4 linked regions of the Arabidopsis thaliana genome follow. The protein of the gene in region 1 interacts with the protein of each later gene in a pairwise test. Each region holds a gene or a part of one and is shown in the gene's direction. Other genes may lie near its edges. The genes, in order: AT4G26410, ARD3, NTMC2T2.1 and ANNAT1.

Region 1 (7,451 bases):
AAAAATGTGGAATGTATAATGTGGCTTAAAGTTAGCTGAGACACTCTTCTTAGTGGTCTTATTGCTAATAATCTCATGAACGTGATAGATTTATATGTTTTGGGGGACCCTTTTGGTTTCTGAATAATTATGGGAATGATTTTTGTATTTGTCTGGCAGGGACCAGAGATTCGAACCGGGTTCTTAAAGGATGGGAAACCTATCCAGCTCAAACAAGGCCAAGAAATCACCATTTCAACTGACTATGACTTGAAGGGTGATGAGAAAACTATTTGCATGAGCTACAAGAAGTTGGCGCAAGATGTGAATCCAGGCATGGTCATACTCTGTGCCGATGGTACCATCTCGTTAAAGGTCCTTTCTTGTGACAAAGAAAAGGGCACTGTCCGTTGTCGTTGTGAGAACACTTCAATGCTTGGTGAAAGAAAGAACGTTAATCTCCCTGGTGTTGTGGTTGATCTCCCAACTCTAACTGAAAAAGACAAGCAAGACATTCTTGAATGGGGAGTTCCCAATCAAATCGACATGATTGCTCTGTCTTTTGTCAGAAAAGGTTCGGACTTGGTACAAGTTAGGAAGCTACTTGGAAAACATGCTAAAACCATACTTCTCATGTCAAAGGTACATATATACATACATCACTCAAACTAATATAAATCACATATCCATACTCAGATTCTTATGATATGTTACTTTTGATATTGTCAGGTTGAAAACCAAGAAGGTGTAGCGAATTTTGATGATATCTTGATAAACTCGGATGCGTTTATGATCGCAAGAGGTGACCTTGGAATGGAGATTCCAATTGAGAAGATATTCTTAGCTCAGAAAGTGATGATCTACAAGTGCAATTTCATGGGGAAGCCAGTGGTTACAGCGACTCAGATGCTTGAGTCTATGATCAAATCCCCACGACCAACAAGAGCAGAAGCTACTGATGTTGCAAATGCTGTCCTCGATGGCACAGACTGTGTCATGCTTAGTGGTGAAACCGCAGCTGGAGCATACCCAGAGCTTGCTGTTCGTACAATGGCCAAGATATGTGTGGAAGCAGAGAGCACACTTGACTATGGAGACATCTTCAAGAGGATAATGCTTCACGCTGCGGTCCCTATGAGCCCGATGGAGTCACTTGCTTCATCTGCGGTCAGAACCGCTACTTCCTCAAGAGCCACTCTTATGATGGTCTTGACCAGAGGAGGCAGCACGGCGAGGCTGGTGGCTAAGTATAGACCAGGGATACCCATTTTGTCCGTGGTGGTTCCTGAAATCACGTCTGACTCTTTTGATTGGGCGTGTAGCAACGAGGCACCGGCAAGACACAGTCTCATCTACCGTGGTTTAGTCCCGGTGCTGTATGCTGGATCGGCTAGAGCCTCGATCGACGAGTCAACAGAAGAAACTCTCGAGTTCGCGTCAGAGTATGGTAAAAAGAAGCAACTCTGCAAGACCGGAGACTCTGTTGTGGCTCTCTTCCGTACAGGTAACGCTATTGTTATCAAGATCTTGACCGTCAAGTGATCCCATTTGCGTTTGAGTTTTGCCGGTGTTTCTTAGCGTTTTGGATGTTTATTCATCATGGTGACTAATCTTGAGATGAAACTCAAAGTCTCTTTTGTTTCTTTTTTTGTGTGTGGCTCCCACACACTACATAATGTTCTTGGATCATACTCTGGTTACAAGTACATTAGTTTGGTACGAGTGCAATTGCATAAACAAAGACTATTTTTTGAATATATTTTACAAAAATGTGTGATCACATTTGGCTCGTGATCACACAACTTTGGGATTCGTATTTGGAGATAATGCGATTCATGCAGTCAACAACCATACTCACAGTCACATGCCTCTCCCTCTCAACATAAATACCTGTGTTCATCTTTTTATATTTTACTAAATTAAAAGGGATACTTTTAACGGAAACCCAAATGATCATCAGATATTATAATACAAATAAAGAAAAGATTCCATTCCTCGAAAGTGTTTATTTGTTATGCAGTATTCAACAATCTGAGTGAACAAGATTTTATGTACTATAAGCTGAGGAATAGCAGTTTACGAGTTCTCACCGAGATGAGATGACCCCGAGGCCGATGCGGATGACGAAGAGGATGAAGAGAATAATCCGCTGAACGGCCATGGAAAAGAGAACCTTCTCTCGCTCACATTACTGTTCCTTGCATCATCTTCCACATTCTCATTACTTACGTTGATCTCTAGAGTTCTTGTTCTCGGTCTTACAGGATTAACCTTGGTCTCATCATCAGGAGGGAGTTCATATCGGCACACGGGACATGAACTGTGAAGCTCGAGCCACGGTACTATACACCGGATGTGAAACTTGTGCTTACACGGCATCTCTTTAGCTTCACTTCCTTTGTCAAAATCATCCAAACAAATCGAGCACTGCAATGATTCACTTATCTTAACCGTTGGGAGATTATCCACAACTTCTTTACGTGCTGGAAGACTCCCGTGCCTGATTGAATCATTATCAGCTAGATGTTCAAGCAAATGGTCTAAACTGGATCCAACAAAGTAATCTCCAATTGCAGAAAGAGAAGTATTGTTCCGGTTTTGATTCAAACTCGTTGAACCCTGAACAACAGCTGATTGATTTAACAGGTCTCGATCCGAGCTCTCATACTCAGAAGCAATCCCTGCACGAATACCCTGAAGCAACTGCAATATAGTAGCTGAGCTTCTCCGTCTCCTCCTAAGGATAGACTCAAACTCTCTGTCTAAATCAATCTCTCTACCTTGTTGCCTGTGGCGATGACGACGATGATGATGTCGATCAATATCGACGCTGTCATTTCCATCAACATCATCAGATACATTGACCTCATCATTATCCACACCAAACTCTGTCCTCCTAAACCTTCTACGTCTACGAGGATTACTCATCATTCCAAGCAAGATTGGACCCCATAGAGACAATGCACGGTCTGTACCAAAATCAATCTCAGGGTCTTGAACCTCCCTTAGACTGCTACTGCTGCCGCCATTAATCTCACGGCTCATTTCCTCGACAAACCCGCTTTGGCAAAAGGGGCATTTGATCTCGGCACCAATAACTGGATTCACCATTTGTGAACACATGTGACACCAATACCTAGCTGACATTGCCTCTTCCTCCTTCTTTCCTTCCCCACCCAAACCTCTCGTTTCTGAAACAACCAGAAGAACAACAAAAAAAAAAACATGAAGAAGCAAACCTATAAAGTTTCGACCTTTGTTTCATCAGATCTAAATAAAGAGAATGGTATTCCCAAAAGTTTCACTAAAAAGAGGATAATATCATCTTCACCAACATCATTAGCTCAAGTTTCAGACAACAAAACGCAAGCTTTCTATGCAAATGCGAATAAACAGATCAACCAAAATTTGCCTCTATAAAGAGATAACAATAGAAATCAGGGCTAATCCATGAAAAGAAAACTCTCAATTCTCATGGAGTAATTAAAACAAAACAAATACAAAAACAAACCTTGTAAATGTTCTTACTTTTGGAGATCCAGAGGGAAGAAATGTCTTCCTCCTTCTTTTAGATCTCCACGAAGATAAATGAGAGCTTTTTTATTTGTCTTCTTCTGCAGAAATGGTGGGAGACGAAGAAAAGAGGAATGAAGGAGGAAAGGAAGACGAAGATGAAGACGAAGAAAAGGGAATGTAATGTATAGTTCGCAGACCCAATCTTAAAGCCCATTAACCGCAAACTGATATATAAAGGAGCCGGGTCTATCTTAACCATTTAAAACCAACTTCTAATTTGGAATCAAATTGAACCGAATCGAACCGGTTGAAGTTGAAAGAAGGAGAAAAGGCGTTGTCTCCGTGCGAGAAAGGCAAATCGGAGACGATGAGCGAAACCGAAGCAACCGGCGTTACCGATGATTCGGCTCCAGCGATTGAGACTGAAACTGTTTCTGATGCGATGGAGCATACAGCGATCGGAGTGGTTGAATCGGTGGAAGGAGCCATAGAAGGAGCAGAGAAATGGGTGGGTGATTTGCAACGGACGGTGAAGGAATCGAAGGATACCGCAATGCGTTCTGCTCGTTCCCTCCGTGAAAATTCTACCTCTCAGTTCCGCTCTATACAGGTTAGTTAATCTCTCTTTTGTTCACCAAACAATTTTTGCGAATCGAGATTGTTTACCAAAAAACATTTTCAGGATTTCAAACCATGGATATGGTGGAATTTAGTATCTCGTAAGCTATAATTTCTAGAAATGAGCTCGATTCAGAACAGATATTTCTCCAATTAGCAGTTTTATGTATTGAATGGTGCTAGTTTTTGTTCATATGGGTAAAATCTTGTTGAATCATACCATTATAACTTATTGGCAATGATCTTAGTCTCTTCCTGGGTTCTGATTCTGCTTCAAATGGTTGTTTAGAAGACTGTAATGTATCGCTGAGGCATTCTTGATTATTCTCTAAACAATGTTTTTATATGATATCAGATATTCATGTAGCTTAATGATGTGTGATATGGAGTAGACCCTATCTGGCTGAAATCACAGTTCCATTAGATGTATGTATATGTCTTCGTCTTCTCTCATACAATCTTACATTTGATTCTGAAATTGCAGGATTTCATTCCACATGCTTTGACTCAGTATAAGACCTATGAGAATGCTTTCTTCAGTAAAGTTACAGGTATCTTGCAGCCAATTTTCGTGAAAAAGTTATACTGGTAGACTACTGTAATGCTTAGGAACGAGTATTTTAGATCAAACTGAGATATAACAGATAGCTGCCACAAAACTTTTATATATACTTGTAGTGCATCTTATAGTGTTCTGAAACTAGAATCTTCATGTCATTCCGATTAATCAATCCTCGTATCCTCTGCTGCTTTTGTTATCCTCGCAGACGAATTGATATACGCAAAAGAGCATCCGGCTGCTGCTATTGGGATTGGTGTCGCTGCTAGTCTCGTTCTGATGCGAGGTATAACCTCTACTCTCTTATCACTTTTACAACTTACAAGATTCCTTCCCGTAGGAGCATCCAAATGGTATTACATCTGTTTTACTTATATGTGTCTTGTATGAATTTGGTTTTCTATTGTTCGACTTACAGGCCCAAGAAGATTCTTGTTTCGTAATACACTAGGCCGATTTCAGAGCGAAGAGGTATATACTATACCAGCTTCAAATTTATTTCTTAACGTTGTTATGCTTAGTTGCCCTGGTCTGTGTCCCTTCCCTTATTTTTACATCCACTTCAAAATCATCGTCGCTTCAGGCACAATTCTTGAAAGCTGAGAAGCATGTTCAGGAGTTAAACATGTCTGTAGACTTGATGAAAAAGGAGAGCAGGAAATTGCTTGAGAGGACGGCTTTAGCAGAGAAGGATATGAAACGTGGTCTCTCTGAGCTCATGTATGCCCCAACATGGACGCTCCCACTTCTTTTATTAAGTTATTGACATCATTTATGTTAATATGGGTACTACTGTTATATCTATAGGAACTCTGGAAACGATATACATCGTCTTGCTAAGTCCGTCCACAAAGCTGAATGTGAAGCTGCTGGTAATCTTGAACAAGATTTATTTTTACTCACTTCTCCCTTCTCCCTTCAAATGGTATCTTTGATAATGCCACTACGTCAGATTTCAACTTACACAAAGAGTTCTATTCGCTGCAGATTTGATGGACGGACTTCGGCAAATTCCTGGAAGGGATGCTATCAAGCTTAGAGCTGAAGTGAGTCTGACTTTTTTCTTCTCGCCCATTGTTTGAGCTTCATTGCTATGAACGTCTCATTAAATTCTTTTGTCGTAAATCATTAGGTGGCTTCCATGACTTCGCTTTTGAGACAGAAGAGGATTGCATTGAACAAAAGGATCATGGGTATGTCGGACCTAGGAGTTTCCGTCTGATATATCCAACACAAATCCACAATTTCTTGGGTTTTCGCAACCAAAGTTTGTTAGGTATTTTCCAATTGAATCGCAGTGTACTCTCGTCCATCGAACATCCAACTCTGTCTGAAACCAAAATCTGAGCTTGAGACAGAACTTGTATACTGTGTTTTTGCCTGCTTCCTAAGATTTCTCGCTCAGAGAGAATTAATTGAGTCACAAAAATGTGTGTGCTTGGTTTGGAAATCCTTAATTATGTAGTCTAGAAGATTTATGAGAAACATAGAAAGTTACTGAATCAATCAGTAATGAAAATTTATAGATAACATGAAGGTTTTTAATGGGCTAGTTTTGCATCGTAAGTCTATGGGAGACGGGCTGTGGGCCATCCACCCATGCGACTAGGCGACCCAACTGCTCCGATTGGTCTAGTAATGTTAAACCCTCCAGACGAGCAAGAAGCTTCAGTCGTCGGACCGGTCCGACCATTAACGTCCAGAGTCCGTTCTCTCCTCCTTAGACGCTCCCTCTTGAGCAGAGTCCCTAACTTATCTTTTCCCGATTTTCCCTTGTCCGGAACAGGTATCATCTCCAGACCCATCAGCTTTGCAACAACCCCCGTCTTGCACCATACCACACTCTCTCCGGCCACTGTCCGTGGCAGGCGTTTTGTCTCCAAGCTCATCTGGCTCGATCTCTTTGATGTCCGTTGATCCCCGCAGTGGGATCTCCGCCCACCCTGTATCGTCATGTCAGCACTGGTGCCAAGATGGCGCCGGAAGGATGACCGGTACATAGCGTCCTTACCGTCCAGTGAGAAACGTGGGTACTGATTCAACGCGTTCCTTGCTGACCTTAACGGCAGACAAACAGAAGTTGATATTAGTATTGATCATAGTATCATACACAATAAAATTATTTCTGTTTCTTCCGGTAATTCCTTAAATATCACTACAGATTTCACCAGTATACGAAATCTAGAAAATTCAAAAAAAAAAAAAAAAAAAAACACTTTAAAATGTAGTCATATAACTTGTTTCGTACATTCAAATCTACACCGGTGAATATCATATTATCAATCATGAAACCAACGTTATTTCTCCTCTTGAATACGTTATATTCATTATTCAATATTCATCTTAATTACTAACGTGGCATGTCAAAAAAAGTTAACTATATGTAAGAGCTCATGAGTCCCTAATGAGAATATTTACTTAAGTACATATAAAAATAAGCATGACGCACCTCAAAATATCGGAACTGTTAACGCATGACATCCGGGCGGGCTGATGATATAACTTATCATCATCAACATCATTATGGTCATCACAATTATCGTAAGTACCGTAGTAAGATTCACGGAGTCTCGCTCTTCGAACAATATCTTCTTCAACCTCTAGCTGAAGTATCATCTCCTCTAGAGTTCTCGGAGATCCTCCACCGAAAGGAGTGTTTTCAGGTGTAACAGAAGGCCCCACATCGTTCTTTTGATGTTGGTTTAGTGTCAAAGTTGAGCCATCACCACCACAAGAGCTAGCAAAGCCGCTACGTGGACCTCGTCCTCGCATTCTCGAG
Region 2 (6,612 bases), on another chromosome or scaffold:
TCTAAAAACCACAACACCAGAAATATTAAAAAAAAAAAAAAAGATAAAAATAACATATAGAAAGAACAACTAAGCAGAGAATGAAAATAAAAAAAAACAACTAAAAAGAAGTTATAATTTATAACGTATCTGTCGTTAAATCTGTTGAATCGTTCTTACAAAACACAATCGTTACAAAAGTCAATTGGGTTCCCACGAATCGGTGGGGCCCATCACGACGAGGTCTCTTCACATAATCTCATCTCTTCTTATTGATTTCACATAAAGTGTTTTGTAAGAAAATGTTTCAATGAAAGATTTGTCTGAAAATTTCAGGAGAAAATGGGTAAGAACTGGTTAACATGTGTCTCCGTGGCTTGTTTATCTCCAGGGAAAGACAAAAAGAATCAAGTTGGTGTTTCGAATCTGTTCTCTAATTATTGATTATGATTATGTAACCTGATTATGAAATCAAGATTGCTAATTGTTTTGATTTTGGTCTTTTGGTTTTGCCTTGTTTATCAAGAAACCCGAGAAACCGAAGAGGAAATGGTCGTTTGGGAAACAAAAGAGTAGAGAATCTTTTGATTTCCCTCTGGAGGAGACTCCACCGGTTGACCCTTCACCTTCTTCTGTTCATCGTCCATATCCACCGCCTCCCCCGTTGCCGGATTTTGCTCCTCAGCCGTTGTTACCACCACCGTCTCCACCTCCTCCTCCTCCGGCATATACCATCAATACAAGAATCTATGGTGAGTCTAAAGAATCAAAGAATAGACAAGCTTTAGCTCTTGCATCGGCTGTTGCAGCCGAAGCAGCTGTGGTAGCTGCACATGCTGCCGCGGAGGTTATACGTCTCACGACCCCATCAACACCTCAAATTGAGGAATCAAAGGAGGAAACTGCCGCAATCAAGATCCAAAATGCGTATAGATGTTACACGGTATACAAAAAAATCACTTTTTTTTTTTTGGACAAAATACAAAAAAAATCACTAATTCCTCTTATTATGAAAGACTTAGTCTAATATTTTGAAATTTCATAGGCGAGACGCACTCTTCGTGCGCTGCGAGGAATGGCTAGACTCAAAAGTTTGCTGCAAGGAAAATACGTCAAAAGACAAATGAATGCGATGCTTAGCTCAATGCAAACTCTTACACGTTTACAAACACAGATTCAAGAGAGGAGGAATCGGTTATCTGCAGAGAACAAAACTCGTCACAGGCTGATCCAACAGAAGGGTCACCAGAAAGAAAACCATCAGAATTTGGTAAATCTCGTTACATTTTTTGTTGAATGAATGTAAAATTTATTCAACCATGTTTACAATATATGCAACCGTTCATCTAAAAATATGACAAAATTTAAAAAGAGTCATCCCATTGTTATGTGGTAAAATCTCCCTACATTTTACCACACTGGGTGAACCAAAATTCTGAACTGGAGCATATTTTGTTGTAGGTTACCGCGGGAAATTTTGATTCCAGCAATAAATCAAAGGAACAGATCGTGGCAAGGTCGGTGAATCGAAAAGAAGCTTCAGTAAGACGAGAAAGGGCATTGGCGTATGCTTACAGTCATCAGGTAAATATAAATTAAAGACAACATCATTGTGAACTTAGTCATAGTTGTTTATATATTGATGTTGGAAAATAAAACAGCAAACATGGAGAAACTCTTCAAAACTTCCACATCAGACTTTGATGGACACAAACACAACAGATTGGGGTTGGAGTTGGCTTGAGAGGTGGATGGCTTCTCGTCCGTGGGATGCTGAATCCATTGACGATCAAGTTTCCGTTAAAAGTTCTCTTAAACGCGAAAACTCGATCAAGAGTTCTCCTGCCAGATCTAAAACACAAAAGTCAGCTAGCCAAAGTTCTATTCAATGGCCTGTAAACAATGATACAAAGAGTAGAAAGATCGAGGTTACTAATCGCAGGCACAGTATCGGTGGTGGATCATCTGAAAACGCTAAAGATGATGAAAGCGTTGGTAGCTCATCCTCGCGCAGAAATTCGTTGGATAATACACAAACTGTGAAATCCAAGGTTAGTGTGGAAACAACAAGCAACGTGAGTAATGCACAAACTGTGAAACCCAAGGCTAATGTGGGAGCAAAAAGAAACTTGGATAACACGAAAACTTTGAAATCCAAGTCTAGTGTGGGAACAACAGGAAACTTGGCCAACACGGAAGCTGTGAAATCTAAGGTTAATGTCGGAACAACAAGTATGCCAAAGAAGGAGGTTGTTGCTGATAAGAAGAAACCTCCACAGATGGTATTGCCAAAGAAGAGGCTTTCATCTTCTACTTCTCTTGGGAAAACAAAGAAATTGTCGGATTCGGATAAAGCAACAACTGGTGTTGCAAATGGAGAGAAGAAGAGAAGAAATGGTGGTAGCAGTTAACCTAAAGTAATAGCCTTATCTAGACCAAGATATTGCTTTGGTGGCGGTTTGATAGATTTAGCATCTCAAATGTGAGATTTGTTTTCTATCAACGCAAATAGAAAAGAGAAAGAAAAAACAAAAAAACAAAGAGTGTATTTTGAAGACCTTATTTTGATTGTTTTCTTTGGGTGAGTACAAATGATGTATGTCTGTTTCGGTTTGGTGTTTATCTGGTGGATTATTTGTTTACATTTTTTAAAAATTTAAACCATTTATTTCGCGTTAATGTTTGAAAATAGTCGTTGAAATCGATTCAAAATGACATATGCAATGGTTACAAAAAGTAAACGAGAGTCTACGTGAACTGGAGCTGGTTTGTGACAAAGTTTGTTATCAATTTAAGAGTTTGTTAAAACCAAAAAAAAAAAACAAGACATTGTATCGGGATTGTAAAAATTTGGATTGTGGAGCTCTCAATGAATATGTACAATTGAGTCTATTGCTGGATTACGTTCTGGCCGAGACATATCAATCAATCAGACAGGTTGCTATGAATTAGTAAACTTCATGTAGTGGATCATTCTTCCTCTTTCTCTGTAATTTGTCCGTAATAACATCATCAAACTCAAGTTTCTCAAAGTTAATTTTAATTCAATTAATAACTTCGAATATCACACATATATGATTCATGCCGTTAATATTTTTCTTAGCATGGTCTTACTGAAAATAAAATTTAAATATTACTATGAAAAATTATATAAATCACAAAACTAGTTTGGTTTTCTTTTGTGTAGAAAAGATTATCGGAAATAATTTCATGTTTATTTATTTATTTTTACATCAAAATTTTAAAATAGAAACACAATTTTCCATTAAAAAAATTCATAAGATTCCAATGAGCTTCCAAAGTAATTTTTTTGGAAGCCTATATAGTCTTAGATTTTGATAATATTTATGAAAAAAAAGCTAATTCTGAAGTACACTGAAACAAATAACAAATACATGACGCTTCCATTTTTATTTTTTTCTAACATGAAGCTTCCTTACACGTAGAAAGTTAAGTACATCGAAACAAATACCAAAGACCTGAGAAAGTGGATAGAAGTCTTATTATTAAGAACAATAATTGATAAGAACAAAGCATCTTATTATTTAACAAATGCAAATAGAGTAAATAGAAGTCGTGAGACTTCGTGACGTCATCACTTCTTCGTCATCTCCTTGACACTTCGTGACGTCCTTGTCTTCTCGATAAAGGTGCCTAAGAAATGGAAAGAGTGGTTTTGTGTTCTTACTTTACATTTTTGCACACAGAAAAATGCTAGCGGTTTCCTTTTTTATCTATATAAATGGTTTCTTTCTTTCTTCATTTTGAACACAAAAGAAGAATAACCATGGGTGAAGCCGCTAAGGTAATATAAACTCTTCCTTCTTGATTTAGGATCTATTCCCATTTACTTTAGAAGTGTTTTTGCTTAGCATCAGATTGATGTTTTCTAGGATCAAACTGAAGAAGTGATTCAAGCTTGGTACTTGGATAATAAGGAAGAGGATCAGAAACTTCCTCACCACAAGGATCCTAAGGAATTTGTATCTTTGGACAAACTTGCAGGTCTGTGTGTATCTTCATTGTTGCACATACTTTTATTCTTTCACGTAGGTTAATAATGTTTTTTTTTTTTTTTGTTCAGAGCTTGGAGTACTTTGCTGGAGACTTGATGCTGATAACTATGAAACCGATGAGGAATTGAAAAGGATCCGCGAATCTCGTGGTTACTCCTACATGGTTTGTGACATTTATTTGATGCCTTTTTTTAATATCTTCCTTTGTTTGGTCTTTTTTTTTAACAAAAAATAAATCTTCGTTTGTTAGTTGATTATTAAATATTCGTTTTTGATTCGCAAACATTTGGATGTTTGGTTTTAGGACTTATGTGAGGTGTGTCCAGAGAAGCTTCCAAACTATGAAGAAAAAGTAAAGATGTTTTTTGAAGAACATTTACATATTGATGAAGAGATCCGTTACTGCCTCGCAGGAAGTGGTAGGTACTTTTATTCGCTGCTTTAGTACTTAAATAAATTCGATATGGTGCTCATTTATTTTATTTTTTCTTAAAAACAAATCAAAGGATACTTTGATGTGAGGGATCTCAATGATATTTGGATTAGAGTATGGGTAAAGAAGGGAGGTTTGATAGTCTTCCCTGCTGGAATATATCATCGCTTCACCGTGGACTCGGACAACTATATGAAGGTTCAATCTTAGCTTCTTCTAGTTATTAATTCATACTATATGAAGGTTCAAGTAATATATTTTTGGTTGCTTAGAAAATTGGAATTTTCTTATATATTGAACAGGCAATGCGTCTTTTCGTGGGTGGACCAGTGTGGACTGCTTATAATCGCCCACATGACCATCTTCCTGCAAGGTACAATGATGTCTTGTTCTCCCATATTGTCACGACAAAGCTTACTAGATCTGTAGTTATATATCTAAGCAAAGAGGCGACAAAAGTGTTTATGTATATTCAAACGGCTATTTTATAGGAAAGCGTATATGAAAAAATTCTTGAAGGTGATTGGGGACCGTAACATAGACGCTTCAGCGTAAAGAACTCTCGGGGATCAGATTTCTATAAGCTAAACATATGTTTAGATGTTGTCTTTAATTATGCTTTATTATGTTTACAACATGGAAACCGAAGACATTTTGGTTCATGTGTCTTTTGGCATTATTGTTGTGATTGTAATGTAAAGAAGAAGGAAAATGACAATATATGAAAGCAAGAAAATATATAAAACTATCGGTCACTATTAGTCTCAACCTACTGGTGTCTATGCATAATACATGATATACATCCGTTACTGTAAATAAATAAAATGATTATTTGAATTGAACACATTACTTATGGAGTATCCATAATCTCATGTTTTTAGAATTTGTACCCAATGATAAATAAAATCAAACAAAAGAATTTCTAGTCTTTTGTTATATTCTTGCCTCTTGGTGACTAAGAAATCGATACATTTAACTAAAAAAAAAAAAGATAAAAAAGAAGAAGAAGAAATCGATACATGTACACATCAAGTATATGTCTTGTTATTTTCCAGTTCATGTTTACTCCCTCTGTTCCTAAAAAAATAATGTTTTGGGTTTTTCACACAAATTAAAAAATGTAACTTTAATATTATTTTTATTACTTTTCTATTAATCTAATAATATAAATTTTACTTCTCTTTTCTCTCTATTGGTTACTAATAAAAATAATAATAATATTAACCTACAACATCAAACTTGATGAAACAAAAATAAAACTCAAAACATCAAACTTTATAGAACAGAGGGAGTATAAGATTTGGCTGCTTCAGACATTCATCTCAACCTTTTTCTCTTTCTTTTCTTTTCTTTTCACATGCACGTTAGTATATATTGTGGTGTAAAGTGTAAACTTTCGCTAGGAAATCACGTTCTCTAGCAATGATTTGGTTTTAAAAACATTGTTTTCCCCCTCTAATAAGATTATTACTCTGTTTTTTTATTTTGTTTCTCTTTGATATAAGAGTCGGAATCCACCAATCCAATTGACAGACGGTTCCAAAATATACATGTAGGAGACACCAAAGCAAGAAAGATTTATGTTCAAATGAGCTAATTAACATAGAAATATATTTTAAACTGAAAAAGATAGCTCATTGGAGTTTTATTTAAGTGCTAGAAAGTAAAGAAAAAGGAAATTTACTTTAGAGAATAGCCAAGCTATGATAGATTCCTAGATTGAGATATAAAATGATGAAAAAGAGAGTTGTTCCAAATGGCAACTCCCAGAGTTATAAAATCGATTTGGAACAATTGGTTTATGCATATGCCTTATGGGTAAAAGGATGAAAAAGAGAGTTGTTCCAAGTAAATTGACCCATAAGGCATAAATTAACCAAACTTCAAGACCTAGTTTATAGTTAATGCCAAGTACTTCCAACGAAGTCCATGATACGACTTTTCCACACGCGGTACTTTATTACTTCTAAATCATTTCGATTGAATAATTCATGTGCAGAAAATATATTTAAAACAAAAAATAGCTACTAGTATACTTGAAACAAGCTATTTCATCAATCATCACATCTGCATATTCAGAACCATTCTTATATCTTCCCGTACACCTCTTCTTGGAAAAAAATGGAGTTAGGAAAATCAATTGAGAACCAAAACAACGTCGTGGCAAGACTAGCAAAGAAAGTC
Region 3 (9,220 bases), on another chromosome or scaffold:
CATATGATTCATCGTCACTCGAGGAGGAAGAGGAAGATGAAGACGACGATGATGACGATGATGATGATGAAGATGGATCCTCAGAAGACAAAGACTCCACCGTTACATTATCTTTGGTGTTATTATCTTCACTATCTTGATTTTCTTCTTCCTCTTCATCGGTTTCACTTGAGCTATCTTCACCATCACTGATAGACTCTACAATTCTGCTACTTTCTTCAAATAGCTTCTTCTTGGCTGAAGCTCTTCTTCTAGCTTCAGTTTCAGACTCAGAATCTGAAAGAATCTCTATTTCGCCAGGGACTGATTTTTCCAAAACCAAACCTCTAATCTCAGGGGAACACTTGTCCTTCAAAAATCTGATTTCTTCTGACACATCTTTTAACACAGAAGAGCTCGGAACTGATATTACAAGATCCAAATCAGCAATCTCAGGAGAACTCTTCTGCATCAGACATGTGTTCTTCTGTTCAGACACATCCTTTAACTTAGAAAATCTCGGAACAGGTATCCCAACATCCAAATCTGTAATCTCAGGGGAACATTTCTTCTCCACGCCCAAATCACTAACCCTAAAAGACCTCTCTTTCAGACATGGGTTCTGCTCAGACCCATCTGTTAACCTAGAGGAGCTGGGACCTGATTTCTTCTCCACATTCAGATCTCTCATTATCCTAGAAAAACTCTCTTTTACAGAGTTGTTAGGTACAGAGTACATGTTACTGACTTGAGGAGGAGGAACACTGTCGTTGCAAGTTGGTGTGATGTCCTCAATGTCGGAGTCATAGTTTTTAGGTTTCTTCTGCCGTCGTTTCTTTGGGGGAGATGTCACCGGAGCTACAGTCTCCATCTTCTTCCGCTTGTTAACAGCCTGAAGACGCTGCCAGCTCCGGGACTTCACTCTCTTCCCAATACACTCCATTAAAGCAAACACAAAGATCTGAAAAAAGAAAGACTGTTAGAAATCTAGAGAAGACGACAATGGGGTCTGTAAAGAAACAGAGAGAGAGAAAGGTAACGAACCTTTAGATGAGAAAAAATCGAATCTTTCACTCACTCACACGGGTCTGAGAAGAAGATGATGAAGTTCTTGAGTTTTTAGAGAAATTTTTGATTTTCACTGGTTTCAGAAAGTGGAACAGAGAGAGATGGGCAGAGAGAGAGAGAGAGAAGGGCATGAAGAAAGCGTGATGGCAAAGCCAAACCATGCTATTTCAGGAGGTCTCTCATACCGCCAAAACGGTACTATTTTTCCACACACTCTGCTTTTTGGTTTTGGTCAAAAAATTTCTTACATTTCGTTAAAAAAACAGCTCATTAATCAGTTTCCATTTCAAGCATTGTTTTTTTCTGTTCTAAATTACCTTTTTGACCACTCTGAAATTACAGAGTCAACACGTCACTCAAAACTGCAGGAAGAGAAGATATTTCATTACAAGACAAACAATGTGTAATAAATTATGTCTTACTGCTTCTAATTTTTTTTTCTGTGTTTTCCTTTTGCTTTTGTTTTGAAATGTAATCTTTTTAGTTTACCAATCTAGATTTGTTATAACAATTTAAATGAAAAAAATCGAATCATTTACTATTTTATAAAAGAATCTCAAACCCTTTCTTTGAATGGGATTGGAGATTGGAGTATTATTGAAATCAACTACCTTCCTCTTGCTGGCATTTAATTCCACTATTAGACCTTTATATTATTTTTAAACTAAAGAATATTGTGTTTGAAAGAAAAGGCAACCAAAAATGATTACTTACAAACATATACAAACAAAGGTTTTTAGAATATAAAGTAGCAAACAACATCATTCCAAGGAGAGAAAACAGAGAAGAATACTTGTCATTAATAGAGAGAGGTATGAGTTCTTCACGCAAAGTCTTTTTGATATTGGAACTTGGTCATTAATTTACATCACCAACAAGTTCTAAATATGATGAAAGAAAATTTATGTACCAACTTCACTTTAAGTGCCCACCTTTTATCTAATCGCAGTAATGAACACATCACGTCCTATGAGGCTTTGACAAATTAGGAAAAAGGCTAAACTGTGTTAGTCAGAAGATAATAACTTACAGAGGGGACCATTATTAATCTCCTAAGTTTATGTTTTTGTGACAAGTTACAAATTCCTCAGAGGATTATTAGAGAAGCAAATATCGAAAACTGTATAACAAAACTAACTTCTTAAGACCGTACCGTCACATAACATCAATGAGCCATTACCATAGCCGAAACCAGTCAGCTACACGAGTACAAGACTTATTATGGTATGTAGTCATCTCATGATTTAAGGGTATAATGAAGTATCAACTGTTAGTCCCCCAAGATCCTAATTGCATATGATCAGAACTCTGGACTCGTTTCTTAAGTGAGGATTTGCAAAGCTCAATCTTTGTCATTGCGATTATGTTCCGGTGACGATGTTCAAAATCTTTCCGGGGATTTAGTTCCATCACTGTCTTTCTTTTCTATTTGTTTTTGTCTTTAACAATGTCAAAGTCAAAATCTCACCGATTCTGTAAATTCCAAGTTATATGACGTGTCATTGTATTATTGGTGCGAGCGATAGCACAACCTTTGCGTCTGCGTCGGTAGCGAACTCTTCGGAAATATATAATCTGTAATTAAAATGAGACTAATCCCAATTTAAAATCAAAAACCTTTTTATTTATTTTTGTTTTCCTATAGAGATTTCTTAGAAAAGAAATAAATTACTTCTCTTTTATTTTTCATTCGGTTTAGCTCGTGGAACTGAATCTGGTGTGTTTGTTGATCAGAGTAATACGGACATTGCAATTTTTCTAAATCCGGCGATTAAATATGGGTTTCATAGTCGGCGTTGTAATCGGACTCCTCGTCGGAATCGCAATCATCATCGGCTTTGTCAAGTTGGAGAATTCTCGATCCAAGCTTCGCTCTGAACTTGTGAGACCCCACTCTCCCTTTTTCGGATTGAAAATTTCGATTTTTTTTCTTCTTAATCGGGATTTTGTTTCTGTTTTATAAGGCGAATACGGTGGCTGCTTTTGCGAGGATGACGGTGGAGGATTCCAGGAAGCTTTTGCCTCCTGAGTTTTATCCTTCCTGGGTTGTCTTCTCCGAGCGTCAGAAGTTGAGTTACAACATTACTTACATATTGATGTGTTTTCATCTCTCTCTTTCTGCGTATTGGAAGAACACGAAAGTTTTAGAATTTGGTCATACTTGGGACTGATTCTTGTTGTTGCTTTGGCTTTTTATTTACTTCAGTTGACTTGGCTCAACCATCACTTGACAAAGATCTGGCCTTATGTTGATGAGGTATGTTTCTATTGTCTAATTCGTTCAAGTAGAGATATGTTATTTGTATTATGGATAAAGATATTGTTTCTTAAAGGAGTTTTTTTTTTTGTCCTCTTTTGATTCGATTTGGAGTTTTAGGCAGCCTCTGAGCTTATAAAGGCATCCGTGGAGCCTGTTCTTGAGCAATATAGACCTGCCATTGTGGCCTCCTTAACATTTTCTAAGCTTACTCTCGGTACAGTGGCACCTCAATTTACAGGTTAGTTTTGTTCATTTCTCTTTTTAAGTGTAAAACTTTGTGTTGTAAGGTACCAGAACTTGTGCAATTGAGTCATGTTGAATTGTTGGTGGAATCCTTTTGATTGTGAACTTTTCTTGAGCTTGAGCTTAGACTAAGAATGTTCTTACTTTTACGTGTCTCCACATTGTAACCTACTATTCTGTGATAGTCATCGAATTCCTGTCAAAAGGAAAATATTCAATTGAATAACAACTGAGGAGTGAATTATCAATTCGACTGGGAAATAATCAGGCAATGGCAGCAGTATCCTTCTTTACACTTCTTCGGATTGTGTGTTTAAAGTTTGCAAAAAGACGAACCATAATCTTAAACGAAATTGTATTGTTGCTTTAGAATTTATGTTTTGCTTGTGCTCCTTGGTATTCGTTAGGTGTTTCCGTTATCGACGGTGATAAAAATGGGATTACCTTGGAACTTGATATGCAATGGGATGGAAACCCAAATATAGTACTTGGCGTCAAGACCTTAGTTGGTGTATCCCTCCCCATTCAGGTATATGATTTGATTTCCCTCGATTGCTTACTTTGACTTTATATTATTTGTCAATTCTTCTGTCTTGCAGAACTTGTGAAGGAAATATTGATATTCTAACCTTTTTTTGATCAATGATAAGCTGATTACAACTGATTTCTTATTCTTTGTTTTCTAGGTGAAAAACATCGGATTCACTGGTGTTTTCAGGCTAATTTTTAGGCCACTAGTTGAGGACTTTCCCTGCTTTGGAGCTGTCAGCGTTTCTCTTAGAGAAAAGGTTAGTGCCCTCTGCAACTTTTGAAGCTGTAGCTAAAATTGGCTAAGATAGTTCATAAGTTTTTTGTACTTTTACTTAATCGTGTTGCATCCTTCTGCTTGCATACCTGAGCATGCATGTATGTGTGCTAGATTGGTTTCATTGAAGAAAGCTGTGGTGACACAAAATATTCGGGTGTAGTGATCAATTTTGTATGATGTTTAGCTTATACATTCAATTCTGTGTTGCAGAAAAAATTGGACTTCACCCTTAAGGTTGTTGGAGGTGATATTTCAGCAATTCCTGGACTTTCTGAAGCTATTGAGGTTTGGCATACTATTTAGTTTCTTGATACCAAATATTTATGTCATTCTAGAGTCTTAGAGAAAGGAAATATCAAAGTGGTTACAAGTCTTTATTTAGCTATGAAGTACATGTGGTCGAGAATCAACAGGGTGTTCTGGTTATTGCATTTTCCTATTAAGCATCTTTTCTTGTTTACAATGATAGGTGGAATCATATGTGTTTATCTTAGAACTTGCTAGACAGGTTGGCAATTTGAGTAGACAGCTTAAGTTCTACACATGAAACCTTGTTCATATGCTATTTTTGTAAAATCACAGTATACATTCCTAGTTTTCTTACCCAACGCTCCATATGATGCAAGGTTGTAATCTCTTAGATGGTCCTTTATGCCCTGGTGCATATGACACTTACCAGTAAGTTGATATGTCTCAGGAAACAATTCGGGATGCCGTGGAAGATTCTATCACATGGCCTGTTCGGAAGGTCATCCCAATTATACCTGGTGATTATAGGTACACCTCAGATTAAATAGATGAAGTTGAACTGTTGACGTTCTTCAGTGGAGGATATGCTCAACTTTTTTTTCTTTTCGTTTTGACTTTCTTACTATTGTGTTATAGCACTTTCGAATAGTCAATGCAAATGATGGTGCTTGTCTTTCTGGTTTTGGACTTTTATTTTAGATTTTTTTGTGTTTCTATTCCCAGCGATCTGGAGCTAAAGCCTGTTGGAATGTTAGAGGTGAAGCTTGTGCAAGCAAAGAACTTGACCAACAAAGATCTAGTTGGAAAATCAGACCCCTTTGCTAAAATGTTTATACGCCCTTTGCGTGAAAAGACTAAAAGAAGCAAGACAATTGTAAGTAGTCCATCTAATCCTCTTTTTGTGCTAAACCTACCAGAATGATCTGATTTATATTTATTCTCATCAGAACAATGACCTGAATCCCATCTGGAATGAGCATTTTGAATTTGTTGTGGAAGACGCGTCAACTCAACATTTAGTGGTCAGAATATATGATGACGAGGGTGTACAAGCATCTGAGCTTATTGGTTGTGCCCAAATCCGGCTTTGTGAACTTGAACCTGGTAAAGTGAAAGACGTCTGGTTGAAGCTGGTCAAAGATTTGGAGATCCAGAGAGATACTAAGAACCGTGGAGAGGTTAGATCGGCTATAAATTTCCCCTAATTAAATAAACCCTGTGATTTTGTATCTGTACATGGCTAATGAATGGACGTTATTGTTGATTCTCTGTAATTTAGGTTCACCTTGAGCTCCTTTACATCCCTTATGGTTCGGGAAACGGCATTGTAAATCCCTTTGTCACTTCATCGATGACGTCCTTAGAGAGGGTGCTCAAGAATGATACAACAGATGAAGAAAATGCATCAAGCCGTAAAAGAAAAGATGTCATTGTAAGAGGAGTTCTCTCTGTGACAGTGATATCTGCAGAAGAGATACCAATACAAGATCTGATGGGGAAAGCTGATCCATATGTTGTTCTCTCGATGAAGAAATCAGGTGCCAAGAGCAAAACTCGGGTAAGTCCTCTCATTTAAAGCATCAAAGAGTTATCCATGTTATAGATGTTTCATCCTCCTCATTAACTAATGGCAATTTTGCTTCACCAGGTCGTCAATGACAGCTTGAACCCGGTATGGAACCAGACTTTTGATTTTGTAGTTGAAGACGGGTTACATGATATGCTAGTCCTTGAAGTCTGGGACCACGACACCTTTGGAAAGGTAAAACCAAACCGCAACAACACTGTTATTTGATGGTTATTATTCTGCGTCATTGCACCAAATGGATGTTTTTCTCGTTTGGTTTATTATTTATTGTGTTGGCATTGGGCATTGGAAAAATGAAACATTGTGGCTTTACTTTTGTGGACAGGACTACATTGGGAGATGTATCCTCACGTTGACAAGGGTTATAATGGAAGAGGAGTACAAAGACTGGTACCCATTAGACGAATCCAAAACGGGCAAGCTTCAGCTGCATCTGAAGTGGATGGCTCAATCAATTTATCGTGATTCCTAAGCTTAATCGGTAGAATCAATTTATCGTGATTCCTAAGCTTAATCGGAAGATTCACAACTTCGAATGTACATGTTGTCTAGTAGCGTCAAACGGATGTGTTTTGTCAAACAAAGACGAGTCTGCATGTAGCCCAGAAGCTGTGGACTCGGAATATGAGTTTTCCTCTTTTTTTCTGAAAACCCTAGACAATACTCGTGTACGTTTGCCTCATAAGCTCAGATGTCATAAGGGGTTTGATCTTTGCGTGCATCACAATCCTTCAATAATTTTTTACCTTTTACCCTAAAATCTCGTCTACACGTATCACCATATTTGTCTTCACCAAGTTTGTTTCACTATCATAATCAGCGATCTCTTGACACATATTGACTAGTCCTTGTTGCTTATTATCCTCAAGTGAAGCCAAATAAGCCACGCACACTCGGTGACACCTTCAATGTTTGCCATGTGTCATAGTCCATGCAAATGCCCACTTCATTTTATTAAGACGAGAGCTATACAAACACCGTCTCTTCTTATTCACTTGCTGCTAGTTATAAGAATCAGACAGAAGTTGCAGAGAAAAGAGAATTAATTGATTGGTGTAATGGAGAAGGCAGTTCATTTATCCACCAAAAATGGACCCAAGGTTCCAGGAGAGCCAACGAAGACCGGAACCTCCATGGTTGACACGGCAGCTTCAGCCGTACAAAGCTTCGCTCCGATTAACCAAATCCACCAACATCTCTGCGCGTACGCTTCTGAAATTGTTAATCTTCTCTTTTCATTTTATCTTTAAACAAGAAATAAAGAAGAGGATCGGAAGAATGAGGGATAATCATAACAGTATAAAACCTACACCACATTTTTTCGTTTAATAGATCTGTCAAATTCTTGTAGTTTAGATTTAAAAAACATTGTATTGATATCTTACGTAAATCAAGTTAATCAAATTTTCTTGAATTTTTAATCGATGTGAACACGTGTGGAGTTGTGTACATGCATGCAGAATGAAACTTAACTATTTCATATGAGTTTGTTTGCATCAGTAAAAAGATGAACTATATATATCCTCTCCTTTTTGCGCTTGTCATAGGTTTCATTTCTATGCATATGACATGACCCGACAAGTGGAGGCACACCATTTCTGTGGTCACATCAACGAAGACATGCGCCAGTGTCTGATCTACGACGGTCCTGATGCCAACGCTCGTCTGATCGGTCTGGAGTACATTGTGACAGAGAAGCTCTTTATGACATTGCCTGACGATGAGAAGAAGCTTTGGCACACTCACGAGTGGGAAGTTAAAGGAGGCTTCTTGTTCATGCCCGGTGTTCCCGAAGCTATTCAACGGCAAGATCTCGAAAAAGTCGCCAAGACTTATGGGAAAGTTTACCATTTCTGGCAAGTCGATTTGGGGCATCAGCTTCCCATTGGCTTGCCTAATATCATGATGGCTGTTACTCGAGACGGACAACTTTATCCGGAAATGATCAAGGGTACGTAGATTTGTCATTTATAGGTTATGCTTAGTCAAATATGCTTTTATGAAAGTTAACATGAACATTTTGAAATGTTCAATGGGTGACCGCAGAGACGGAAAAGCAATTTGGAGTATCGATAGACAAGGAGCGAGAGTCAAGGGCTTATATGAAGGGTCCAGACCATGGGATCCATCCCTTGGCAAATGGAGGAGGCAAAGGCCTGAAGTTGGAGTTGCGAGAGGTTGACATAAAGCCGGTTGAGTCCGTTCCAAGAGTCTTCGTTTAAGTTATACTTAAATAGACAACTTAAGAAGAATAAATAAATAAGCGATCGAGCTTTTCTTTTGTATAGCCCTCCTCGAATCATGTGTATAAGATGTAAAATACACTTGAAGTAGTATATTATGGTGTCGTCTAGTGGTTTTAAATATTACGTCTTCATGACTCCAGTTCATTATCTTTTATGACCCTGCGGGTAATCGTTATTATAACCTTAGAGAAAAGATGATAATACTATGACCAAATGGAAACTACAAAATTTGTTGAATCACACTATGATAAATAAAGGCCCCAGTGAAAAGAAAGGAACAGAAGCGTAGTCTTGTCATGTGTGTGTATAACAAATGTAAGACACTTGAGGCATTTTGGTGAGCGACGACTGCATCTTCTTTATTTGAACTTGTCTCAATTGAAATGGAAGAACAGAGAGACCTCTGTGTTCTCAAGATTGAACAGCCAATTTCTGAAGATGTTGGAAGAAGACTTGAAGACTGACATCATCCGTGAAGATTATATCAGAGCCTGCATTCATCTCGCTTGCATTGTTGTATGTTGCTGACGGATTTAGCTTTGCTAACAGAAACCTTGCCTGTCCATTATTGCCATACGTATTACAGAACATCAGTAAACACTAGGCAACTTTCAGTGTTTCACACTTGAACAATCAACTACAAATTCAGAGATGAAAGGGGTTAAAAACACTGACCTGGGATCCATGTTGATCACAAACAACTAATCTTGGTACAGGGAAACGATCACGAATGATCATCTGCGCATCTTCTTGAGGGGCTTCCAAGAGTTGGGCAAATG
Region 4 (7,244 bases), on another chromosome or scaffold:
TGACCTCTCCACAAATCACTTAACCGGAGAAATCTCTCCTTCCTTAGGAAATCTCAAGAACTTGACGGTACTTTATCTTCACCAAAACTATCTAACTAGTGTCATTCCCTCGGAACTAGGCAACATGGAATCCATGACAGATTTAGCGCTAAGTCAGAACAAACTTACCGGTTCAATTCCTTCTTCCTTAGGAAATCTCAAGAACTTGATGGTTCTTTATCTTTACGAGAACTATCTAACTGGTGTCATTCCCCCGGAACTAGGTAACATGGAATCCATGACAGATTTAGCTTTAAGTCAGAACAAACTTACCGGTTCAATTCCTTCTACCTTAGGAAATCTCAAGAACTTGATGGTTCTTTATCTTTACGAGAACTATCTAACTGGTGTCATTCCCCCAGAAATAGGCAACATGGAATCCATGACAAATTTAGCGCTAAGTCAGAACAAACTTACTGGTTCAATTCCTTCTTCCTTAGGTAATCTCAAGAACTTGACGCTTCTTTCTCTTTTCCAGAACTATCTAACTGGTGGCATTCCCCCGAAACTAGGCAACATAGAATCCATGATCGATTTAGAGTTGAGTAACAACAAACTTACCGGTTCAATTCCTTCTTCCTTAGGAAATCTCAAGAATTTGACTATTCTTTATCTTTACGAGAACTATTTAACTGGTGTCATTCCCCCGGAACTAGGCAACATGGAATCGATGATTGATTTACAGTTGAATAACAACAAACTTACCGGTTCAATTCCTTCTTCCTTCGGAAATCTCAAGAACTTGACGTATCTTTATCTTTACCTGAATTATTTAACTGGTGTCATTCCCCAGGAGCTAGGCAACATGGAATCCATGATCAATTTAGATTTAAGTCAGAACAAACTTACAGGTTCTGTTCCTGATTCCTTTGGTAACTTTACCAAGCTGGAAAGTTTGTACCTTCGTGTTAACCACCTCTCTGGTGCGATCCCGCCAGGAGTAGCAAACTCTTCACATCTAACTACCTTGATACTTGACACCAACAACTTCACTGGTTTCTTTCCTGAAACTGTTTGCAAAGGTAGGAAGCTTCAAAATATCTCATTGGATTACAATCACCTCGAAGGTCCTATCCCGAAAAGCTTGAGAGATTGCAAGAGCCTGATCAGAGCAAGATTTCTAGGAAACAAATTCACTGGCGATATTTTTGAAGCTTTTGGGATTTACCCAGACCTTAACTTCATTGATTTCAGCCACAACAAATTCCACGGTGAGATTTCTAGCAACTGGGAGAAGAGTCCAAAGCTAGGTGCCTTGATCATGTCAAACAACAACATCACGGGTGCTATCCCAACAGAGATTTGGAACATGACACAACTAGTTGAGCTGGATCTATCTACCAACAACCTCTTTGGTGAACTTCCAGAAGCAATTGGAAATCTCACGAATTTGTCGAGGCTACGACTTAATGGGAATCAGTTATCTGGAAGAGTTCCTGCAGGTTTAAGTTTCTTAACCAATCTTGAGTCTCTTGACTTATCCTCAAACAATTTCAGCTCAGAGATCCCACAAACCTTTGACTCCTTTTTAAAGCTTCATGACATGAACCTGAGCAGAAACAAATTCGACGGAAGCATTCCCCGACTATCAAAGCTGACTCAGTTAACGCAACTTGATCTCAGCCACAACCAGCTCGACGGAGAAATCCCATCACAACTAAGCTCCCTGCAAAGCCTCGACAAGCTCGACCTCTCACACAACAATCTCTCAGGTCTCATTCCAACAACTTTCGAGGGCATGATAGCGCTGACGAACGTCGATATATCAAACAATAAACTCGAAGGTCCGCTTCCAGATACTCCAACGTTTCGAAAAGCAACAGCAGATGCATTGGAGGAAAACATAGGCTTATGCAGTAATATTCCTAAACAAAGATTGAAACCATGCCGTGAGTTGAAGAAACCGAAGAAAAATGGCAACCTTGTTGTGTGGATATTAGTGCCAATCCTAGGAGTACTCGTCATTCTCTCTATATGTGCAAACACATTCACCTACTGCATTCGGAAACGAAAACTACAAAATGGAAGAAACACAGATCCTGAAACAGGAGAGAATATGTCCATATTCAGCGTTGATGGCAAATTCAAATACCAAGATATCATCGAATCAACAAACGAATTCGATCCAACACACCTCATCGGAACCGGAGGATACAGCAAAGTCTACAGAGCAAACCTCCAAGATACAATCATAGCCGTTAAACGACTACATGACACAATAGACGAAGAGATATCAAAGCCAGTTGTGAAGCAAGAGTTCCTAAACGAGGTAAAAGCATTAACAGAGATCCGTCACCGCAACGTTGTGAAGCTCTTCGGCTTCTGCTCCCACCGCCGCCACACATTTCTGATCTACGAGTACATGGAAAAAGGAAGTTTAAACAAACTCTTAGCCAACGACGAAGAAGCTAAGCGACTCACTTGGACCAAAAGGATCAACGTCGTGAAAGGTGTGGCTCACGCTTTATCGTATATGCACCATGACCGAATAACACCGATCGTTCACCGTGATATTAGCAGCGGAAACATCCTTCTCGATAACGATTACACAGCTAAGATCTCCGATTTTGGTACAGCAAAACTTCTAAAGACGGATTCATCAAACTGGTCCGCCGTTGCTGGAACCTACGGCTACGTTGCACCAGGTAAATCTAAATCCCTAAATCTGATTTTGAGCTTATGAAATTTAAATCACTAAATTCGAAATTGAACTTGATTTTTCGCAACAGAGTTTGCTTACACGATGAAGGTGACGGAGAAATGCGATGTGTATAGCTTCGGGGTTTTGATACTCGAATTGATAATTGGGAAACATCCGGGAGATTTGGTATCGAGTTTGTCTTCGTCTCCAGGAGAAGCTCTGTCGCTAAGAAGCATTTCCGATGAACGTGTATTAGAACCACGGGGACAAAATAGAGAGAAGCTCTTGAAGATGGTGGAAATGGCTTTATTGTGTTTACAAGCAAATCCAGAATCTCGGCCAACGATGTTGTCAATCTCCACTACATTTTCTTAGAAACTGAACTTCTCCATCAATTTCTATGTTATCATTGTGTTTATCTATACAGCAACAGTAATCTCTGTTGGCTTTTGTTCTCTGTTCTTGCTTGTGTTTGCAGGAAGGGGTGTCGACTCTCGTTTCAGCTTTTGTTGTTGTTGTTTGGGCTTCTCGGCCTGCTTCAGCTTTTGTATGTATTGGGCTGCGCCCTTGTTGGTCTTTGGGCCTTGTTTGTTTTTATCTTTGCGGCTTGCGTGCCATGTTAGGCCTTTTGGTCTTGTAATGTGTTTGGTTAATGGAAATCTATGAAGTTAAAAAAATGAAAAAAAAAAAAAAAAAAAAAAAACTGTTAAAAGCATTTTTAGATAATGGTCATTGTGTTACTCCTCACATATGAACATTCAAATAAAGTTTTGGATACTGTCTATCTGTATATCGCCAGAATTAGTAAGAGATTTCTTATGCATAGTAGGAGATTAAAAAAAAAAATGCATAGTAGGAGATTTGTAAAGAAAGAAATAAGTTTTTTTTTGTATAATGAGTTCTAATGGACATCACGTTTGCAAGTGATAATAAAAAAATCTTACACTCTTGTACTCTGTAACGTGTTAAAATAATACAAAATGGATTATAATAACGAAATCTAAACACTTATAATCTTGCGGATGATTTTGTGACAACCAATGAAACCGTTAATGCGAGATTACGATAGTTTTTTATGAAATCATGATTTGTGCATAAAGTTAAGCAAATGCTAAATAATTCATAAAGTGTAAGAAACACGTGGCAGAAGAATTAATAATTCGTTTGGGATATTTTTGGTATATACGGACAGGCCACGTCGTGTCCTAAACCTCTTAGCCTTTCCCTTTATAAGTCAATCTTGTGTCGGCTTCGACTCCCAACATACACAAAACACTAAAAGTAGAAGAAAAATGGCGACTCTTAAGGTTTCTGATTCTGTTCCTGCTCCTTCTGATGATGCTGAGCAATTGAGAACCGCTTTTGAAGGTATAATAGTTTCATGATTCTTCTTGTTACGTTCTCTGTTTTTGTTACCTTCTTGTTTACATGATCAGTATCCACTTTTTGTAAAAGTGATGTGAATCTGTTGGTTTTCGTTTGGTGGGTTATTGTATGATCATTTGTTTTGATTGTTTTTCATGTGGATCGATCTTTGTTTTGGTCCGATGATATGAATGTTGTGTCGGTAGCGTTTTATGATCATTTGTACGATGATGTAGATCGAGATTGTTCCTTCATGGATCGGATCAGTGACAATGATCTCCTTTCTTTGTGTGATCTATAACAATCTTTTGTGTTAGTGATGAAGTTTTGATTGTCTGATCATGTTGATAATGACAATGATTACATTCACACGAGATCTTGATTGAGTTGTGTTTTGATTCTCACTGTCACAGATCTGTCTTCTTAGTCTAGATCTATAATGTAGTTACGTGTAATACAACACTAAGATCTTAAGATTTATATTTTGTGAATCTGTTTGACCGGTTCTGTTATTATGGATCTGAAGTGTGTGTGACTTGGATCTGAAGTATGTGACTTTGATGGTTATGTAAAGTGAATCTGATTCGTGTTTTTCGCAGGATGGGGTACGAACGAGGACTTGATCATATCAATCTTGGCTCACAGAAGTGCTGAACAGAGGAAAGTCATCAGGCAAGCATACCACGAAACCTACGGCGAAGACCTTCTCAAGACTCTTGACAAGGAGCTCTCTAACGATTTCGAGGTTCGGTTTTCGGACTTTTAAGTATCGACTTTTAAACATCTTGTGTGAAGTCATTGTATTCTAATTGGTTTTTTGGTCATGGACAGAGAGCTATCTTGTTGTGGACTCTTGAACCCGGTGAGCGTGATGCTTTATTGGCTAATGAAGCTACAAAAAGATGGACTTCAAGCAACCAAGTTCTTATGGAAGTTGCTTGCACAAGGACATCAACGCAGCTGCTTCACGCTAGGCAAGCTTACCATGCTCGCTACAAGAAGTCTCTTGAAGAGGACGTTGCTCACCACACTACCGGTGACTTCAGAAAGCTTTTGGTTTCTCTTGTTACCTCATACAGGTACGAAGGAGATGAAGTGAACATGACATTGGCTAAGCAAGAAGCTAAGCTGGTCCATGAGAAAATCAAGGACAAGCACTACAATGATGAGGATGTTATTAGAATCTTGTCCACAAGAAGCAAAGCTCAGATCAATGCTACTTTTAACCGTTACCAAGATGATCATGGCGAGGAAATTCTCAAGAGTCTTGAGGAAGGAGATGATGATGACAAGTTCCTTGCACTTTTGAGGTCAACCATTCAGTGCTTGACAAGACCAGAGCTTTACTTTGTCGATGTTCTTCGTTCAGCAATCAACAAAACTGGAACTGATGAAGGAGCACTCACTAGAATTGTGACCACAAGAGCTGAGATTGACTTGAAGGTCATTGGAGAGGAGTACCAGCGCAGGAACAGCATTCCTTTGGAGAAAGCTATTACCAAAGACACTCGTGGAGATTACGAGAAGATGCTCGTCGCACTTCTCGGTGAAGATGATGCTTAATCAATCAATCCTCCACAGAGAAACATAAGCTGCTCTACAGCTTCTGTTATCTCTTATCTCCCTCTCTCTCTCTTTGATGAGTTTCAAATCGTTTGATTTTGTTTCTACAAAAACCTTGTTTGTTTCTGTTGTGTGTTTTGAGTTCCTAAATAATGCAAAAGAGAGAGACAGAGAGAACCAGTGTGGTCTCTTAAGTTATATATATATGAAGAGCATTGGCCTAAAACACAGACTAACAAGTAGTTCTGGTTTTGACAAAAGTTGTTGTCACTACAAAAAGGGAGACCAACAACAAAAAAGTTAAGGGCATTGTTTTCTCTAAAGCCCTATCCGATCTTGAAACACAAAATAACAACAACAACATTTTTTAGTTACTAATCAAAGTCACTTCTTCAAGATGGTCTTGGAGAAAATCTTCTTGCAGTAAGGGCTCGAGTGTAGTTTCCCGTACCTGTAAACCTTCGCCACCAATTTAGCACGAACAGGTCCCTGCATCAACCCCAAAAGCCATGTCAAGTTCTGTTTCTAAAAGCTTATAACATATGTATTGATTTGGACTTACTTTGGTTACAGAGAGAGCAGTTTGGATCACATAGTTCGCATAAGGATCTTGCAGAAGATATTCAAAGTTTGGAACACAGAGGAGCTCACGGACGATCTCAGCTCGACTCTCTGGATACTTCCTTAGACACTTCTCAATCACGTGGCTACTAAACTTCTGAGTAGCTAACTCGGCGTAGTGCATTCTAAACTGAACCAGCAACTTCACTGCAGAAACTTGTTGATCTATTAAGTACTGCACCACATAGTTCCTGCCAAATTTCATTAACTATAAGGAGAGTTTTTCAAACTATACCAAATCTTTAAGTCTAAGTGGAGACTAAATTTACCCAAAAGGATCCTGAGAAAGGTGAAGCGAGTTTCTTGATATCTCAGCGACGAGTCTTTCACGTTGCAGTCCAACAGAGTTTGAAATGCAGCATTGAAGAACACAGCATCCGTGTCGATGAATAGCAATCTCAGCACAGTACTTAGTAGCAGCTTCTAACACAAACTGACACCAAAATTCACAACATTAATCAGATCTTAAGTAAGAAACAAAAACAACAGTCTCAGCACATTACTTTGTAGCTGCTTCCAACTCAAACTAACACCAAATTTCACAACATTCACGAAAGCTTGAGTATGAAACAAAAGATGTAACCTCATTGTCATTAGGGCCAAGGGTTTGCAAGCAACTCTGTATCACATGGTTCCCATTCAGATCTTTGACAAGAGCAAGAAACCCCGGTTTGAGACCTGACTTCACCAATGCAATCTGCTGTTTTGTTTTCACAGTTTCAATCATCTTCTGCACAACCCTTGTCCTGTTTAAATTCAAAAACACATTATCCACAAATCAGAATTCAAAAACATATTATCCACAAATCAAAACCAGCAAATTTCTATGCTTTTGGCCAAAAGTTCTCAGCCTTTTGTAATCAGAAGTAAGCGGATTTAGAGGGTTTTGCCCAAAGGTCTCAGCTTTTTTTTTCTCTCTTCCTGAAGCAAGCAGTTTTGGTTTGTCCAAAAACAGCAAAAAGTAAAAATAAAAATTCATTCTTTTCTACCAAATGTTGCATTCTTTTAGTGATAG

The links.
Region 2: the proteins of AT4G26410 (region 1) and ARD3 interact in a two-hybrid assay, tested with the Arabidopsis thaliana proteins (one large-scale study listed by BioGRID).
Region 3: the proteins of AT4G26410 (region 1) and NTMC2T2.1 interact in a two-hybrid assay, tested with the Arabidopsis thaliana proteins (one large-scale study listed by BioGRID).
Region 4: the proteins of AT4G26410 (region 1) and ANNAT1 interact in a two-hybrid assay, tested with the Arabidopsis thaliana proteins (one large-scale study listed by BioGRID).

What each region holds. Positions count from the first base shown.
Region 1 is NC_003075.7:13,342,898-13,350,348, forward strand, and holds AT4G26410 (chromosome-associated kinesin), read left to right. Parts: upstream 1-3,756; 5' UTR 3,757-3,862; coding exon 3,863-4,105; intron 4,106-4,597; coding exon 4,598-4,664; intron 4,665-4,880; coding exon 4,881-4,958; intron 4,959-5,090; coding exon 5,091-5,143; intron 5,144-5,255; coding exon 5,256-5,392; intron 5,393-5,479; coding exon 5,480-5,544; intron 5,545-5,659; coding exon 5,660-5,718; intron 5,719-5,804; coding exon 5,805-5,894; 3' UTR 5,895-6,240; downstream 6,241-7,451. Other genes in the region: AT4G26390 (Pyruvate kinase family protein), read left to right, coding at 160-621, 709-1,521; AT4G26400 (RING/U-box superfamily protein), read right to left, coding at 2,056-3,126; AT4G26415 (uncharacterized protein), read right to left, coding at 6,241-6,730, 7,122-7,451.
Region 2 is NC_003071.7:11,230,429-11,237,040, reverse strand, and holds ARD3 (acireductone dioxygenase 3), read left to right. Parts: upstream 1-3,679; 5' UTR 3,680-3,721; coding exon 3,722-3,784; intron 3,785-3,872; coding exon 3,873-3,984; intron 3,985-4,063; coding exon 4,064-4,158; intron 4,159-4,299; coding exon 4,300-4,414; intron 4,415-4,501; coding exon 4,502-4,626; intron 4,627-4,730; coding exon 4,731-4,919; coding exon of another isoform or gene 4,920-4,983; 3' UTR 4,984-5,271; downstream 5,272-6,612. Other genes in the region: Iqd4 (IQ-domain 4), read left to right, coding at 322-390, 506-922, 1,025-1,249, 1,441-1,563, 1,641-2,390; AT2G26390 (Serine protease inhibitor (SERPIN) family protein), read left to right, coding at 6,550-6,612. UniProt on the Arabidopsis thaliana protein: Catalyzes 2 different reactions between oxygen and the acireductone 1,2-dihydroxy-3-keto-5-methylthiopentene (DHK-MTPene) depending upon the metal bound in the active site.
Region 3 is NC_003070.9:1,622,274-1,631,493, forward strand, and holds NTMC2T2.1 (Calcium-dependent lipid-binding (CaLB domain) family protein), read left to right. Parts: upstream 1-2,645; 5' UTR 2,646-2,824; coding exon 2,825-2,929; intron 2,930-3,011; coding exon 3,012-3,116; intron 3,117-3,217; exon of another isoform or gene 3,218-3,253; coding exon 3,254-3,304; intron 3,305-3,424; coding exon 3,425-3,545; intron 3,546-3,957; coding exon 3,958-4,079; intron 4,080-4,236; coding exon 4,237-4,338; intron 4,339-4,568; coding exon 4,569-4,643; intron 4,644-5,055; coding exon 5,056-5,135; intron 5,136-5,330; coding exon 5,331-5,481; intron 5,482-5,554; coding exon 5,555-5,785; intron 5,786-5,886; coding exon 5,887-6,165; intron 6,166-6,255; coding exon 6,256-6,369; intron 6,370-6,520; coding exon 6,521-6,667; 3' UTR 6,668-7,016; downstream 7,017-9,220. Other genes in the region: chr31 (chromatin remodeling 31), read right to left, coding at 1-922; AT1G05510 (naphthalene 1,2-dioxygenase subunit alpha (DUF1264)), read left to right, coding at 7,254-7,399, 7,743-8,146, 8,242-8,417; AT1G05520 (Sec23/Sec24 protein transport family protein), read right to left, coding at 8,853-8,999, 9,117-9,220. UniProt on the Arabidopsis thaliana protein: May be involved in membrane trafficking.
Region 4 is NC_003070.9:13,221,332-13,228,575, forward strand, and holds ANNAT1 (annexin 1), read left to right. Parts: upstream 1-3,836; 5' UTR 3,837-3,972; coding exon 3,973-4,048; intron 4,049-4,644; coding exon 4,645-4,790; intron 4,791-4,876; coding exon 4,877-5,608; 3' UTR 5,609-5,908; downstream 5,909-7,244. Other genes in the region: AT1G35710 (kinase family with leucine-rich repeat domain-containing protein), read left to right, coding at 1-2,684, 2,769-3,055; PUM9 (pumilio 9), read right to left, coding at 5,993-6,097, 6,171-6,420, 6,499-6,662, 6,813-6,975.